Struthio camelus: one gene and its partner. The protein of the gene in region 1 purifies or fractionates together with the protein of each later gene. This does not show direct contact. Links are inferred from orthologs where the notes say so. Each region holds a gene or a part of one and is shown on either strand. Other genes may lie near its edges.

Region 1 (7,468 bases):
TTGAGGTCTTGGAAGTAGACAGCAGTACTTATAACACAAAGCAAGAACTATACAAAGAGAAAGCAATGAATTAAATTAGTGATATTTTCTGTTTGGATTAGACCTCAATCTCTCGTCGTTACTTTGAAGTCTTGGAGAAAATATGTACGCAACTTGGTATTTATTTCTAAATTTCTTCTTCATTTCTGCCGTTACTGTAGTTAGCAGGCATTCCACTTGGATCAAGTTAGCTTTTTTGGCTGTAAGTCTGGAAGCGAAGGAACGCTGAACCTTTCTGAAAATTCTGATTATAGACTACATTGCAAGTTGGGAAAATGTCCCAAGTCCCAGTGCTACAACTTGAGGATATTCAGCAAATTAGAAGGTTCCAGCCAAAGGAAAACAAAAGTAATACATCTCAGTTAAATCACTTGTTATGTTTTGACAGATATATTTCAAGGGATGTGATAAATTCAGCTAATTCATAGGTAAGAAGTTAACAGTGAAATGACATTACATGATGTCCGTATAGCAATCGCTCATTGCCTTTGAAAAGATTCATCTTCCCTCATCAGGTGACTCTATCACAAACTACAACCCACAATTAAACTGACGCCATAAGAATGAGTTTTAAATATTACAGCCAGAGACATCAAACGGGGAGGGGCAACAGAACAAAAGTAGACAGGATAAGCATTTCCAAATGCTGGCTTTTTACTGCAGAATTGTACTCGAATGATTCTAAAGTTAGTTTCTACTTAGTCACATATCAAACATACACCTTCTTAAAACGTGATGATCATCATACCACTTTTGTGTTTGCAAGCATGTTTCAGAGACTCAGAAAGCCCCAGCCTAAACGACACTGGGATCCAGGAACCCAGCAGTTGCCTCTGGATCCTCGGGCCAAGCCACATCTAGGTACCCTCCTCATGAGTTTAGGTACCTGCTCAGCAAAGATTTTCTTTTTTTTTTTTCCGCTTTGGATCCAGATAGCTAAAATTCAATTAACATTTCTTTTGGGGTCTTACCCAATTTGGAATGGAAGCAAGAAAGATTTTTACCTCATCTCCCGTTCTTCATGCTGTGCGATTAGATTGCTATAGAAGTTTTCTAATGTCACCTTTGTCATTGTAACTCGCTCCTTGGTGTGATTACTCATGGATGAGCAGGGTGTTGGGCCTGTCATTGCCATGGCTCTTAGAAAAGAAAAAGGGAGGAAACGTTTGACATTAGAAATGACATCCTTCAAACAAGAACTACAATCAATCAAGTGCTGCTGAATCACAGAGGCCAGAGTTTAAATTTTAGTTTTATCAGCAGAACAAGTGATAACAGTCCAGTTGTCTAAGCTAAGCCCAAGTAGAGAGAAAAAAATATTACAAAATAAAGGTACCAGTCAAACTTCCTGTTTTGAACATTTTTGATCTGAAAATAAGAGGGAAGGAAACTTAAGAAACATGATGCCTCAAAAACCACAATTTTGGGCAGCGCTGCAAATATCTTGCATTTCTCCCAATATTTTCTCCCTATCATTCGTAAATACTTAAAGTTCAAAAACATCATGCTGAAACATCTAATCCAGAAGTTCTTCTTCCTTTGATCCTTAGAGAAATAAAATCATCAGTTGCATGCTGTCTCCTCTACTGTGAATTTTATCAAAATCCTGGAAGTTATCCTGATAATGGAGCAATCGAGAGAGAAAGCCAAAAAAAAAAAAAAGCCTTCAGTTGCTTAAAACAAACAAACAAACAACAAATACTAGTTTACGTGTCCTGGATTTACACACTGAATTCTCTTAAGAAACGTTTCAGAGTACGCCAGTTCCATCTTGCAGCACAGCCCTGGGGCACATTTACAGCCTAACTCTGCTTCTTAAAACACATTCAAATTCAGAGATACCAAATGCAAAATTATATTTCAGCCTACATTTACTGGTCACAGCGTAACTGCTAGTAACGTAACTGACTTTGTAACTATTACTAGAAATTGCAGACAAAGGTAGGTTAGACACACTTCTCCCTTCTGCGATATTTAGGTGCTAGCCGAATGTTATGATTTGGATTTTTCCTGTTTACTTCTTACGGTTTTCTTTATAAGGCATCACTGCACCTTTACAAATCACGTCCTTTACAAACCATAACTGTTTCGTCTGGAATGCCTGAAGGTTTCTTCACAGAAGAGATATAACGAGGGAACCAGCAAGAACCTCTGGCTACACTTCTGCTTGAGAGGGGGTCATGCCCTTACGGGACAGCAGCTCTCAAGTGATGCTACATGAAGAAGCAGGGGCGCGTTCTCCACGTGCACCGAGGACACGGCGGGAGAGACCTGCGTACCGGGAGCGTGTATTTATGAAAACTACGCCGCTGGCTTTCGTTTCCTAGAGAACAGAGTGTGAAAATTATCTAGTAGAAGCAGGTTAGAAAGGGGGGGGAAAAAAAGGGGGGGGGGGAGCGGCGGGGGAAGAAAGCACCCAACTCAAAGGCAGCAAAAGCCACCTGTTAGTTTTTAGGTGCGCTGACTCTGGGGACCGGCAGAGGGGAGCCCGGCGACGGTGCCGAGCAGGTTTCGACCCTCGGCAGCGACAGGTAACTTCGGTGCTGCCCGCAGCAGCGGCGAGGCCCGGCAGCACCGCGGCGGGCCCCGCTCGCCCAGCCGGGGGGAAGAGGGTCCCGGCCACGCAGCCCCGGGGGCCCGCAGCTCTCCGCAGCCTGAGGAGGGGGCGGCCCGCGGCGGGGAGCGCGGCGGGGAGGGCACCGGCGAGAGGTCTCCATGGCAACGAGGCGAGGGGAGGGGGAGCGGCTTACCGGAGCCCCCCCCCCGGGCGGGGGGGGGAGGTGGTGTGAGGAGCAGAAGGCGGCGGCGGGGTCCCGGCGCCTGCGGAAGGAGGCGGAGCTGGGAGGGGGCGAAGCGGAGCGCGGGCCCCAAACCGAGCCACGCGAACCCCCGGCGCCGCCACCGACGGCGACCCGGACGGGACAAGCGCCCCAGACACCGCTACGGCAGCGCGCATGCGTCACCATCCTCCCGGCCCCGCCCTCTGCCAGCGGGGGGGCGGGGCCTCGGCCTTCCCCCTCCCCGCCGCCCTGCGAGCGGCGCATGCCCGGGCTGGCGGGAGCGGGTTTCTCCGGCGCATGCGCAGTGTGCCCCGCGCCTGGGTGGCCCTGGGGGGGGGCTGTTCCCCCCCCCCCCCCACCGCCACCACCCGCTTGGTGCGCTCATGCCTTCCGAAATCCACGCGTTTTGCCTTAAATCAGCCCTTTTTCCCCTCTGGAGCCGGCCGGAGGTGCTTCGAGCAGTCCGTCTGCTGGCACGCCCGGCTCGCCCAGGCCCGGCGAGCCCCATCCTTCCTCTTCCCCCCCTCCGAAAAGGCCACCGCCATCTGTGGCCTCGTGCACCCTGTGGCCCTGCCGCCGAGGGAGGTCGGTTTTGGTCAGGGACAGGCACCGCGAAAACCCCAGGGCGCTGATAGTGACAGTTGAGGCGTTCAGTGCCCCTTCGCTCACCTACTTCAGCTTCCAAGGGCTCAAAGACAGGAAAGGGGCCTTCCGCCCTGTAGACAGAAATACATCTACAGAGGCAAACTCCCCGGTGCACCCAACAGGCCCAATGGGAGAAGGTGTTTTCCCGGAGGTTAGAGCTATTCGTAGTCACGCCTCCTCACTTACACCCCTGGACTCTGAAATCCAGCTCAGCCCAGAGGCTGGTTCGAGGAGAAAGGGCTTCTGTACCCCAGCTCAGCAAACTCATGCTTTGGGCTGTATGACCAATTTTCATCTCAGCCCTCTTCTGCTCCCAGCCTCTGCTTTGTCAGGAACATCTGAAATCACGTTTCACTCATGATTTGAATGGGCTTGGGCATCTAATGGAGATCCCTGTGGAGTGGCACGGACACGTTACAGCGTGGGACCTGGCCTGGGACAACACCAACCGCGTCCCAAGGGTTCCCAGAGTGACTTTTAATTCTTCCCAGAGTGGGCTGAACTAAGGATTTAGAATGTCTAATCTTTTTTCGAGTCTCAACTTCCCGTAAATGACATGGGGCAGCGCCTCTTCCTCAATACACTTCAAATGTGCAAGGAGTGTAATTCCATATTCATTCCAAATGTGTGGAGATGTTAGCAAAAGCAGATCTTCATTTTATTTACATTTCTGCAAAAAACAAGTACAATAGAGAGTGTGAAAGGGTTTTTATTATTATTTCTTTAACAACATCAAGGACTTGTTGGGTATAAATCACAGCACTGAGAAATACTCTCTGCACATGCTATTGAAGTCTAGCAGCAGCAGAGGAATTTCAGGAATGAAAGTGTCATGTACGGTCCCTACATGATGGAAATGCTGATGTATTTGTAACACAAGAAATAGATATTTCATTTCTGAAAGACTGATTTTGCAACTAAACTGGACCTTGCTTTGCAAGACAGAGCTGGCCAGTTTGACGTTAAAGGAGAATAGCAAAACAAAATCTTGTGGCATCTATTTCTCTTTCAGGAAACACAAATGGCCTCATGAAGTTGGTTTTCCACCTAGAAAATGTGGTATGCTTTGGGAGCTCTTCGAGAGAGTTTCATGGGAAAAAGGAAAAGATAGGACGTCTTGACACAAAAGGCTCGAGTATGGAGGCTGGAAGCTGATTCTCATCACTCTTCCATCAGCAGAACAAGATGACTGTCTAGGGCTTAGGCTGGGAGTGGTGGGGATCAGCTGCCAATTTCTACCTCTGTGGCCTGATGAAAGTTTGCCACCGTCCTAAAGGAAAAACCGAGAGATGAGAGACTTCCTAAAACATTCTAGATGCTTAAAAAGCAGGAAAATTATGAACCTTAGGGCCTAAAGCCTAAGTAAAGTTATTACTACTGCAGAAAGTGGCAGAATGGCAGGCAGGATGGAAATAGAAGAAAATCTGTATTAGCAGTCACTGCTTCTTTAGGAGGCAAAACATTAGACTGCAAATGAACCTGTGAATATGCAGATTCATGAACCAAACTTCCTGTTATGCCTGGACTACAAGAGCTGCAAAGAGCTGTCACAACCTTAAGATACCAGTAACAGACAGGGAAGACCCTGTCATGGAAAGAGATATTTCTGGCCTGTGAAAAATCACCCCATCTCACAGTCACACTATTCAGACTGCCTGTTAGGGAGAGAACTTAGGTCCTTATGAGGCTCTCTCTATTCAGCATCTAGGAGTAGTTAACGGAACAAATGAACGTTATTTTTCTTTTGTGTTTCACCCTTGCATTAGAGCTTTTCCTCACAACATCGCACGCCTAAAGCGATGGACAGACTGAGCTGGATTCAGACTAGTGTGAAAAGTTTGCTGGCTGGGCGCTAGGATTTCTCTTGCTGCCCAGCTCTTTGATTTGAAGGAGGTCCAAAAGGTCTTGTGGGTTCCAGTTACCCTTTGGGGTCTTCATATATTGCAGTAAATCTGGCTTCTTTAACAGGATGAAGCCTTGCTCTTTTTCCATCACGTCCAGCAGCTGCTTCATCAGGCTTGAAGTCTCGGCTCTGCTGATGCTGTTGTGGAGATCTGAGGGATCTCGGCTCTTCTGAGAATCCCCCATGGCATTTGAAAGCGAAATATCCCTGCTGCTGGCTGTGTGCACACTACCCAGGGCATTGTGGAGCCAGGTCAGGCGCTTCAGCCCTTGAAATGCCCTCCCTTTGTCATGCATGAGCTGATGCTCCGTCACTGCTCTTTTACTGCAACAGGAAGAAAGAGTTCCGTTAGGAAACAAGTACAGCCAGATCTAAGTTCATATTGCAAACATGGCTGATTTGCATCTATCACTCTTAGCTGCTCCTCAAAGCTGAGGAAGGAGCGTTGGTGGTGCCTGAACATCTTGTGGGGGACAGCCCTGAGGCCGTGTCCATGGCAAAGCTAGTAGTGTGGGAGCCCAGAGCTGGCATGGCCCTTGCAAAGCGCACAGACCCCAGATCAGCGTGTGAGCTCCTCCACACAGGTTAGCTCGGGGCAGCTTGCAAGGCAACCAGGTAGCCAGTTGTTGAAGAGGGGAAGCTGAAACACCATACATGCAGCTATTCCCAAAAGATACCTTGAATCCTCTTAAGACAAAACAAAACAAACAAAACAAACAAAAAAGCCAAATTTGGGCACAGAGTGGCAAAGTGACTTCAGCAGGCTTATAGAGCTCTGCAAATAGAAGTTTGGTCTTTACCCAGATTTGGGCAAATTTGCGGTCTTTTCAGAGCTCCAAATGCTGCAATAAAAATCTTTTTATGAACTTAATGTTCTAGGATTGTTGTGTTTGTTTCTTTCCTTCCAGAGCTGTAAGTCAGGAGTAATTTAACTTAAATCAGTGGTGTCCATGAAATGAAAACAAGCTTTTATTTTCTTAAGACATACCAAAACTTTTGATCCAAATATTGACGGGGGAGGGCAGGCTAATTCCAGAATATTTCTGGATTTGGGGCAGTTTAGAAACAGCTAACTCCAGCTATAGGCTCACACTGCAGATTTGGATCTGAATGGGAGAACCTAAATATGGAATTTCAGTATGTGACATTTCCATGACTTGCGTCGAGCATCTTTGCGTGGTTTGCTACGCTATATTTAAAAGCGTCAACTGAAATGCACTGAAGATGGTATAATTTTTGCACGTAAAATGCAATTGGCCTGATTCTGTACTGCATAAAGGGTGATGTAAAACGTTGTTCTATCAGATGTATGGAATCTTCCTTCAACTATGCCCTGGGGTACATGGCAGCAATGGGGAAGACAGCCCATTAAACCGAAAGCAAGCAGTCTTCTAATAATATTAAGGAAAAGGGTGATATTGCTTACTTTTCAGTGTCTTGAGATGTTGCAAAAGAGGAAAGAAAAAGAAGTGCCAAAAATGTAACCATCTTCAGAGATCTCTGAGGCAGGAACATTTTCTCTCTTCTTCTTTAAATCTGTTCGACAGGACAAGAAGTGGCCAGTATCACCAAAAATCTTTCTCTTTCTTTCACTTGACAAAATGAATTTCAGCCTATAAGCATTAGTAACAGTGGAGCAGTATACTATGGTATATCACCTCAGGACCTGTCAGAGCATCATTACAGCTTGTAGTGTGTATCAGTAAAAGATGAATATATTTCATAGTAAATTGCTACATTTCTTTACTGGGAGTCCTATATCTCCTTTTCCGCTATTGCTTGTTAAGGTATTACTTCCTGCTCTTGTGCATATGCCGGCGCAAGAGATTATTTTATTTGGAACTGATAAGACATCTTCCTGATAAAAACTTAGCAGAAATTTAACCAACCAAAAAAAAAAATCAGGGTTGCTGCTTTAGAAATGTATTACAGACCTCAACAAGAGTTTAAGAGTGGACTCTGCAGTTTAAGTTAAAAGGTGGACCCAGTCCTGGCATTTGGACCTTTAATAATACAAGACTTTTACATCAGCAATACACATGATGTTACTGACATCCTGATCTGCCACAGCACACAAGAATGATATTTTTTTTCCTGAAAA
Region 2 (7,134 bases), on another chromosome or scaffold:
GGAGCTGAAAATATACCCTTGAAATCTCTTTCCCCTTCACAGAATCACAGAACGGTTGAGGTTGGCAGGGACCGCTGCAGATCATCTAGTCCAACCCCCCTGCTCAAGCAGGGTCCTCTAGAGCATATTTCCTAGGATCCACCTCCAGGCAGGTTTTGAAAATCTCCAGCGAAGGAGAACTCCACAACCTCTCTGGGCAACCTGTTGCGGTGCTCAGGCACCCTCACAGGAAAGAAGTTTTTCCTCATGTTCAGATGGACCTGCCTGTGCTTCAGTTTCTGCCCATTGCCTCTTGTCCTGTTGCTGGGCGCCACTGAGAAGAGTTTGGCCCCATCCTCTTGACACCCTTCTTTCGGGTACTTGTAGACATTGATGAGATCCCCTCACAGTCTTCTCTTCTCCAGGCTGAACAGGCCCAGCTTTCTCTGCCTTTCTTTATAGGAGAGAAGAAAGTCCACTAGAGGTCCACTACCGCCACCTCCATACTACCTTTTAAGACTGAGTTGACTTTGACCTCAATCTGTCTTCTGTCCAAAATTCATGCCTCTACAGTCTATTAGTGTCGCTTCTTCTTGGCCTCTTTGCTGCTGCGTGACAATGACAGAAGGGAGAGCGAATGTAGTCTCGGTATAAATATTGCTTAGAGGCAAGCTAAATGATAACATATTTTCATTGCTAATTTTTGAGCGTTTGGTCCGGAGAACTGGGGATGCACTGTGAGGTAATTGGAAAGGTTACTTGGCTAGGTAGTAGAAAAGCACACGAAAGTTGGACAAAAGGGCCAATTAGCTAGCAAAATTCAAACATTGTATGTCAGGCAGGGACGCACAGTAAACTTCAGTTTAATTTAAAACAGACCTTTACAATCTGACGTTACAAGGCCTCATTTCTTATAGCTCAATGCTGACTTGTACTTTAGTCAAAATAATGGTTGTGATCTCCCCCCCGCCCTCCCGCACTGTTTGCTTGTCTGGGTTAATATGGCTTGCTTTCTTTTCCAAACTTCTGGATACTAGTATGCATCTCTGTGGTGGCTGCTTTACACTTAACTTTTATGGAACCCTAAAAGGGGCAAATAAATAAGTAATTGAGCAACTGCTGCTTATAAAATGTTTATAAATACCAAGTATTATTTATAATATTTCTTAATATCATTCCTCGGCTTGGTGGTCAGCCTAGGCCCTAACAAGAAGTTTGAGTTTAGATGGCATCGATCACAAAGCGCTCTCTGGTGCTGAGAGAGGCAGGGATCAGTGTGGAAAACATTCCATCGGTGTCCTATAAGCATCTATATTTATGTGTAAATGGTGAGAGATGGGGCTCTGCTCTTCCTACGGTATTGTTTTGTGCCCTTATTCTGTGCCGCTGTCGACTCATCGGGTATGGTGGTGATACTGTTTTGTTGATACGTCTGTAAAACTGCCACTGTCATAAAGCTTGCTGTTGTATCTGGCCCGTGCACGGATATTTCTGTTAAAAGTTTCGTGATGATTTCAGGATACAGTTCAGTGACCTTTAAAGCTTGACTGGTGGGTAAGGGACGGTAAGAAGCACTTTGCCACTGTTGAAGCACACTTAAATCTCAGGTTGGACTCAGCAGTTGTTACATGCAGAGAATGTTGAGGTGGCAGATAAAAAAAAGAAGGTAATGATGGATGTAAATAGCCGGAATATCAGATATCTTTGAGACACAGCCTTGAGAGAGTGCAGATATGCATCCTTAAGAATAGGCATAGCTAGAGAGCATACCAGTGGTTGTGTACAAATAAATACACAGCTTTTTAGATAGAGTACTGCTCTTTCTGGATATAACAGCTTTCAAGCAAACCCATTTGTGTCTGCACATACACTCTAAATCTTTCAGTTTAAAGTATGAGACTCCATACTGCACATATGTTTTAAGTTACTGTACATTGATGCCATATAAATAAAAGCATACGTGCTTAAGTTGTGCTTCCTGTAATAACCTCAAGTTTCATCTTTATGATTTTGGAGCATTTAAAATTGAGCTTGAGATATTGCTTTCTCCCACGACTTAAATAAAATCTAGTAATACAAATAAGCTGTAGCATGCAGTCAATCCAAAAGGGGGATACTGCTTGACTAGAGGAATACTTACAGATGGAGGAAAGGCTGGAAAAGGTGCCGTGAAGACACATAGTTGAAGAAAGAGACAGGAAAGCATCGGTTTGATCCAGAAGCTAACAGAATAGAAATATGGGTCATTTATCTAGGTCAAAGTGAACTGATATTAGGTTTACAAATTTGATTTTGGTTTAATCATCAGTTCCTAATCCTAGGCCCCCATGTAAGGTCACTGAAGCCTCTGTCTCTGAAGAAGTGGTGCTTAGCTGTCAGAGGTGTGCAGAGGCCAGCCTTCTTAAATGGTAAATGTTACAGTTCATTATCTCAGAGCTGTACTTATTTTGGTTTGACCCCTGGATTTTTCTTAAATTTATCTTGGACAGACAGACTTTCATTAAAGCCTAAGCTACCTTATCTCCCATGCTTGTTGTTTTCAGGACAGATTTTTAACAAAATTCTTTGTGCAGATTTCATTGGCGAACAAAGAAAAGCGCAACTTCCCTCTTGGCAGGTGTCCTTCCATTGTTTGCTAGGACTGTTGCTTATTAGTGTTACTGTGACAAGTTGTTCTTATTTGGGGAAAAAGACTGAGTGGGCATCAGATTTTTCAAAGGTTTGGATAATCTGTGTAAAATGCACGACTGCAAAGTGGAAAGCTAAGCTCTGTTCTGTCTTCTGCCACAGGCTTCCTGTGTGATATCAGTGAAGTCATTAAAGCTCTGTCTTTTATGGCTTGCTTGAAAAGTGGGAGTAAAAATACCTCCCACTTCACAAGGATGTGCAGGCCTAACTAGTTCTTTATGGATCTGACTCGGATCTGTGACTAGCAGGCAGTGCGTAAATGAAAAATACGGTTCTCTGTGTAGGGGCACTGGGATGGAGAGTAGCATGTTATTTCTCCAAGTAGGACCTGTGGCTGGCGTTTCTTGGGTTTGCTTAGGTTTGTGCAAATAGCAGCCGCATTCCAGTCCACTTTGACCACCTGAAGCAAATAATGCCTTTCAGCTGACAGTAGCAGTGGCATTTTCTGTGCTAGGTTTAATTAAAGACCGCTGTTGGCCTTCTGTTTGCAAGGGGAAGATGCCAGTTCAGTAAACTAACTGGAGACCTGTCCTTTCTGAGTTCACCTGGTGCTGGGAGATGTATGTTAAAAGGGCAAAAACACTGTTTTCTCCAAGACAGTCTAGGTAGTTTTTTCCATGTCAGAATGAGCAGTATCCTCAGGGCTTTGTCTAGGTCATGCTACATCCTACCCATCACTTCTTTCTTGTGATTTGCCTGTAAATGCTACTTCTGTGAGCCAGTGGCACAGCAGCCTGTCAGAAAGGTAGGTGTCAGGTGCTGTTACGTGGCATGGCTGAGGAACTGGACATACAGCACCGATCTAGAGATCTGCTACTGCGTATGGGAAAACTCAAAGTGGTTTTTAAGTGCGGCACTGCAGATCTCTTGTTTGGGGACCCTACTTAATCAGTTGTTGCCCTCTAAGGACCATCCACCCCGCAAGTTCTGGCTCTTAGCTCTGGGAACCTGCCAGGTCATAACGGCAAGGTGGCTCTCCCAGCTTCTGGCTTACTCTTTTTCACCTTTCTTCTTCTCATCAGAGTCCTTTGATAAAGATGTTGATGCTGTTTCCCAGCCGAAGTTCACTCTGTGAAACTGTAGTTCTGATGCAGAACATACAGAGCTCCGCACTTTTGCTGGCCCGTGCCCTTATTTATGTGATCCGGTCCCTAAAGAGCAGTGCCAAGCCTCGCTCGTGAAAGGCTTCGTTATTCCCCTCTCCAGCAAGGGTCGCGGCGGGGCTGCCCGGCTGGCGGGGGCGTGCCGCGGGGGGGCAGCGTCAGGAGGCGACACCCTGCCGCCAGCGCGGCTGCTTGTCCCGCTGCTTAGGGGCCGCCAAGAGAAGCGGCAGCGTCCGGGGGCCTGGCCGCGCACCCGGGCCGCCCGGCGCTCCTCGTCCGCCCTGGAAGGGGCGGGGCGGGGCGGGGGCAGCCGCCGCGGCCCATTGGCAGGGCCGGCAGGGGGCCGGGCCGGGCCGGGCCGGGGGCGCTCGGCGGGGGGGAGCGGAGCGCCGCGCCGCGCCGCGCCGCGCCCGGCTTTTCCGCCCGCTGCTGCCGCCGGCCCCGCGCTGTACCATGGTCGGGGATCACTGCAGCCTCCCCGGTGATCGGCCCGTGCTCGCCCAGAGCCCCAAACCCGGACTAAGCTGCAAAATGGTCCTGCAGGCGGTGGGCAAAGTGCTGCGGTAAGGGCGGCTGCGGGGTCGCGGCGGGTGGCGAGGGAGCAGCTGGAAGGCGCGGGTTACGGAGCCGGCCCGGCCGCCTTGTTGTCCTCGGTCCTCTCGTGCCTGGAGGAGGGAGGCGGCTCTCGGTTCCCTTGGACTCTGGCGTAGCTCTCTGGGAGGGTGGAAGTTTGACTACTGATAGCTGCTTAAGCAGAAGCACTTGTCCACGCATGACACTGCCGTGAAGTTTCGTTTGTGGTCTAAACTAAATTTCCAGGACATAAGGAGACGGTGAAGGTCCTGGCTTTTCATTAGTAGTCGTCAAATAAGGACTCTGACAACGACTGCGTTTGCTTTGGCGTGTTTTATACAAACATATCTTCAGATGAGGGGAAAAAGTTGCTCATGTGGCTCAGAAGGGCTTGTGTGAGCATCGGGATGTGTATGACTACAGAGACCAAAACCAGACTGTTTGGCAAAGGACGCAGTAATTTGATCGGGGGAGTTCTGACCGATTCTGATTCGAGGGGAAAATGTCACCACAAATATTAGGACTAACAGCTTCATTCTTGGACAACTGGAGCTCTTTATTTCAGTTAAATGTGCTCGGATATTTTCTCAGATCTGTGCTGCTCCGAAAAGGAGCCTTGTTGCTCAAGCGTAACTTTATTTGGCAAGCTTTTGTTTGTGCCCGTTTCCTGCTGTCTGTTGCCAGTTGTTAAATGTTTGTCAACAGAAACATCGCTCCTCTCTTACGTTGTTGACTCATGTTTCTTCTCTCCCCAAAGTAGCTTAGAGGAGACCTTTTATTCAGTTAGAGCGTTCTGATCACAAAGTGGAAGAAAATGACTGAGATCTAGCTGTGCCTTGAACTAAAGAAATTTAGTGGACTTGGAGCAGACTCGAGCATTTGTTGCAGTGGGTTTTTAAAGAAATACTGTCTTGCTGTACTTCATGTCTTTGTGTTAACTAACATTTTCTGCAGGAACTTATTTTTGAAGAATTTAGGTTTCTTTTTCAGCTTTTTAACAAGTGTAACCTTTCAGAACTATTTTACATCCCTTCTTAGAAATTTTGGGAGGGGGGTTTATAATTGGTGTTACACACTAACTCGTATCATAAAATACTTTGGCCAGAGGCTGGCTATTCATGCTGTGAAGCTTTTGAAGTTTTTGGTAGCTGTTCTATTGGCAGCACTCCCAGGTGTAAATAGATTGGTGCCTCTGTAGGAAGGTATTGCCAAATCTTTTGTTTGGCAGCTATGGCAGTTTATTTTAAAGTATAGGTAGCTTCCTCTGACTTGTCAATGAAACATACGTATTTTTGTTTTGTTCAGTGCACATGTATGAGAAAATAAAACTTCTTCCTTTCCCCTCCAACGGGGATGCATGCAGAAATTGTGCGTAACTTGCTCTAGCTTTTTTCTGAGGTTTATTTTCAACATATATTATAAAACTGTTGTGAAAGCAGGAAAAAGTTGCTGTTCTATAGGAAATATTTGGGACATAGAAAATAATAGCATAGCTTTATTTAGCTAAAGCTGTTATTAAAGGAGCGTGAGTACTGTTTTCCAGTAGTTCTTTTTTAATGTGTCTTTTCATCCTGGGTTATCACCTCTTGTTACCTGATCAGAGAGAAATGTGAAGTCACAAAAACTTTCTTTGGATGATAGACTGGGACTCTTATTTCTCCTCTTGGACGTACTTCAGATGCCTTATGTATGTTACTTCATCTTATTTTTCTGCAGTTTATGTTTGTAAAACAGATAAACTCACCATGTTCTGCAAAGAGTTCAGACAGCGTAAGTGCTCAGCTACTGGCTGGCAGCCTAGGTAAATAATCGATCTGACAGGGGTCTCATTGCTGCAGAAATCATGTGTTTGTGCTTCTTGAAAAGTGTGAGCCCAGTGATACTGAAAGAAGAATCCCTGTGGGACCCGGTTTAGGCTAAAAAAGGTGGCTTGTTGCTGGCAGCTGTGATGGCATTCCTTTGAGTGTAGACATCCAGAGCTAAGCTTTGTCTGCTTTATACTGGGTAGAGAACAGGCAGTTTGACAAAGCCGTTCATTTTGCATGAAAGCAGATGTGCAATGCAAGTCTGATAAAGAGTGGCTAGCTCACCTGTCAACCTTTGTGTTGTAGGCATATGAGGCAATATGAGATGAATCGCACCATTATTATAATGCTTTACCAGCTATTTCAAAGTAAGCGGGGGACAAAGTGTATTTGATACCACTTTTAACCCCGGCCTTCTGCAACAGTGCTTGATTGAATTCTTTTGTAGTCTGCACAGAAGATGAAACGGTGCTGAACTTCAGGATAAAGTAGTTTTTCTTCTGTTAATCAGGTCTTGAAACTGTTTGGGGATGTGATCAAAGGATATTTTGTTTATGTGTAGCCTGACATTATAAACAGCCTAGTGTGTTTTAGTCTAGTTTCACTGGCAAAACCGGGAATCATCATCATCATCATCATTGTGCCTCCCCTCCGCCCTCAGTACTTGCAGAAATTTGCAGCGGGCAAGGAGTAAAGCGCCTGTCTTTTCTCTTAAGTAGTCCCCCGTTTCTGTGTCTCTGGGGGTTTTATTGGTTGTGAATTACCAGTCTCAGTTGTTGCAGTGAGATACTTACTGGTATGATTTTCCTCTGTAACAAATGCATTCTACAATAGTTAAATGAGTTTTATACTCTTGTAGCTAACTTGCTCTCTTAAGGCTTGTAACGTTCACGTTGCTTTCACTAATATTGCTTAGTATTGTAGTCTAAGTCCTCTGTAGCAGCCGAGCGCCAAATAGTGTGTATGTCACACGCTAGCAGTAATAG

Evidence for each region.
Region 2: the proteins of STK38 (region 1) and MOB2 purify together in Homo sapiens (affinity purification with mass spectrometry; 7 studies listed by BioGRID and IntAct, with this or other methods). This does not show direct contact. The link is inferred for Struthio camelus from reciprocal best matches to the Homo sapiens genes STK38 and MOB2.

What each region holds. Positions count from the first base shown.
Region 1 is NC_090965.1:4,691,029-4,698,496, forward strand, and holds the start of STK38 (serine/threonine-protein kinase 38), read right to left. Parts: upstream 3,020-7,468; 5' UTR 3,006-3,019; coding exon 2,790-3,005; intron 2,363-2,789; coding exon 2,319-2,362; intron 2,311-2,318; exon of another isoform or gene 2,118-2,310; intron 1,179-2,117; coding exon 1,044-1,178; intron 1-1,043. Other genes in the region: parathyroid hormone 4-like, read right to left, coding at 5,289-5,691, 6,794-6,882. UniProt on the Homo sapiens protein: Serine/threonine-protein kinase that acts as a negative regulator of MAP3K1/2 signaling. Converts MAP3K2 from its phosphorylated form to its non-phosphorylated form and inhibits autophosphorylation of MAP3K2.
Region 2 is NC_090946.1:17,772,210-17,779,343, reverse strand, and holds the start of MOB2 (MOB kinase activator 2), read left to right. Parts: upstream 1-4,125; 5' UTR 4,126-4,223; coding exon 4,224-4,333; intron 4,334-7,134. UniProt on the Homo sapiens protein: Stimulates the autophosphorylation and kinase activity of STK38 and STK38L.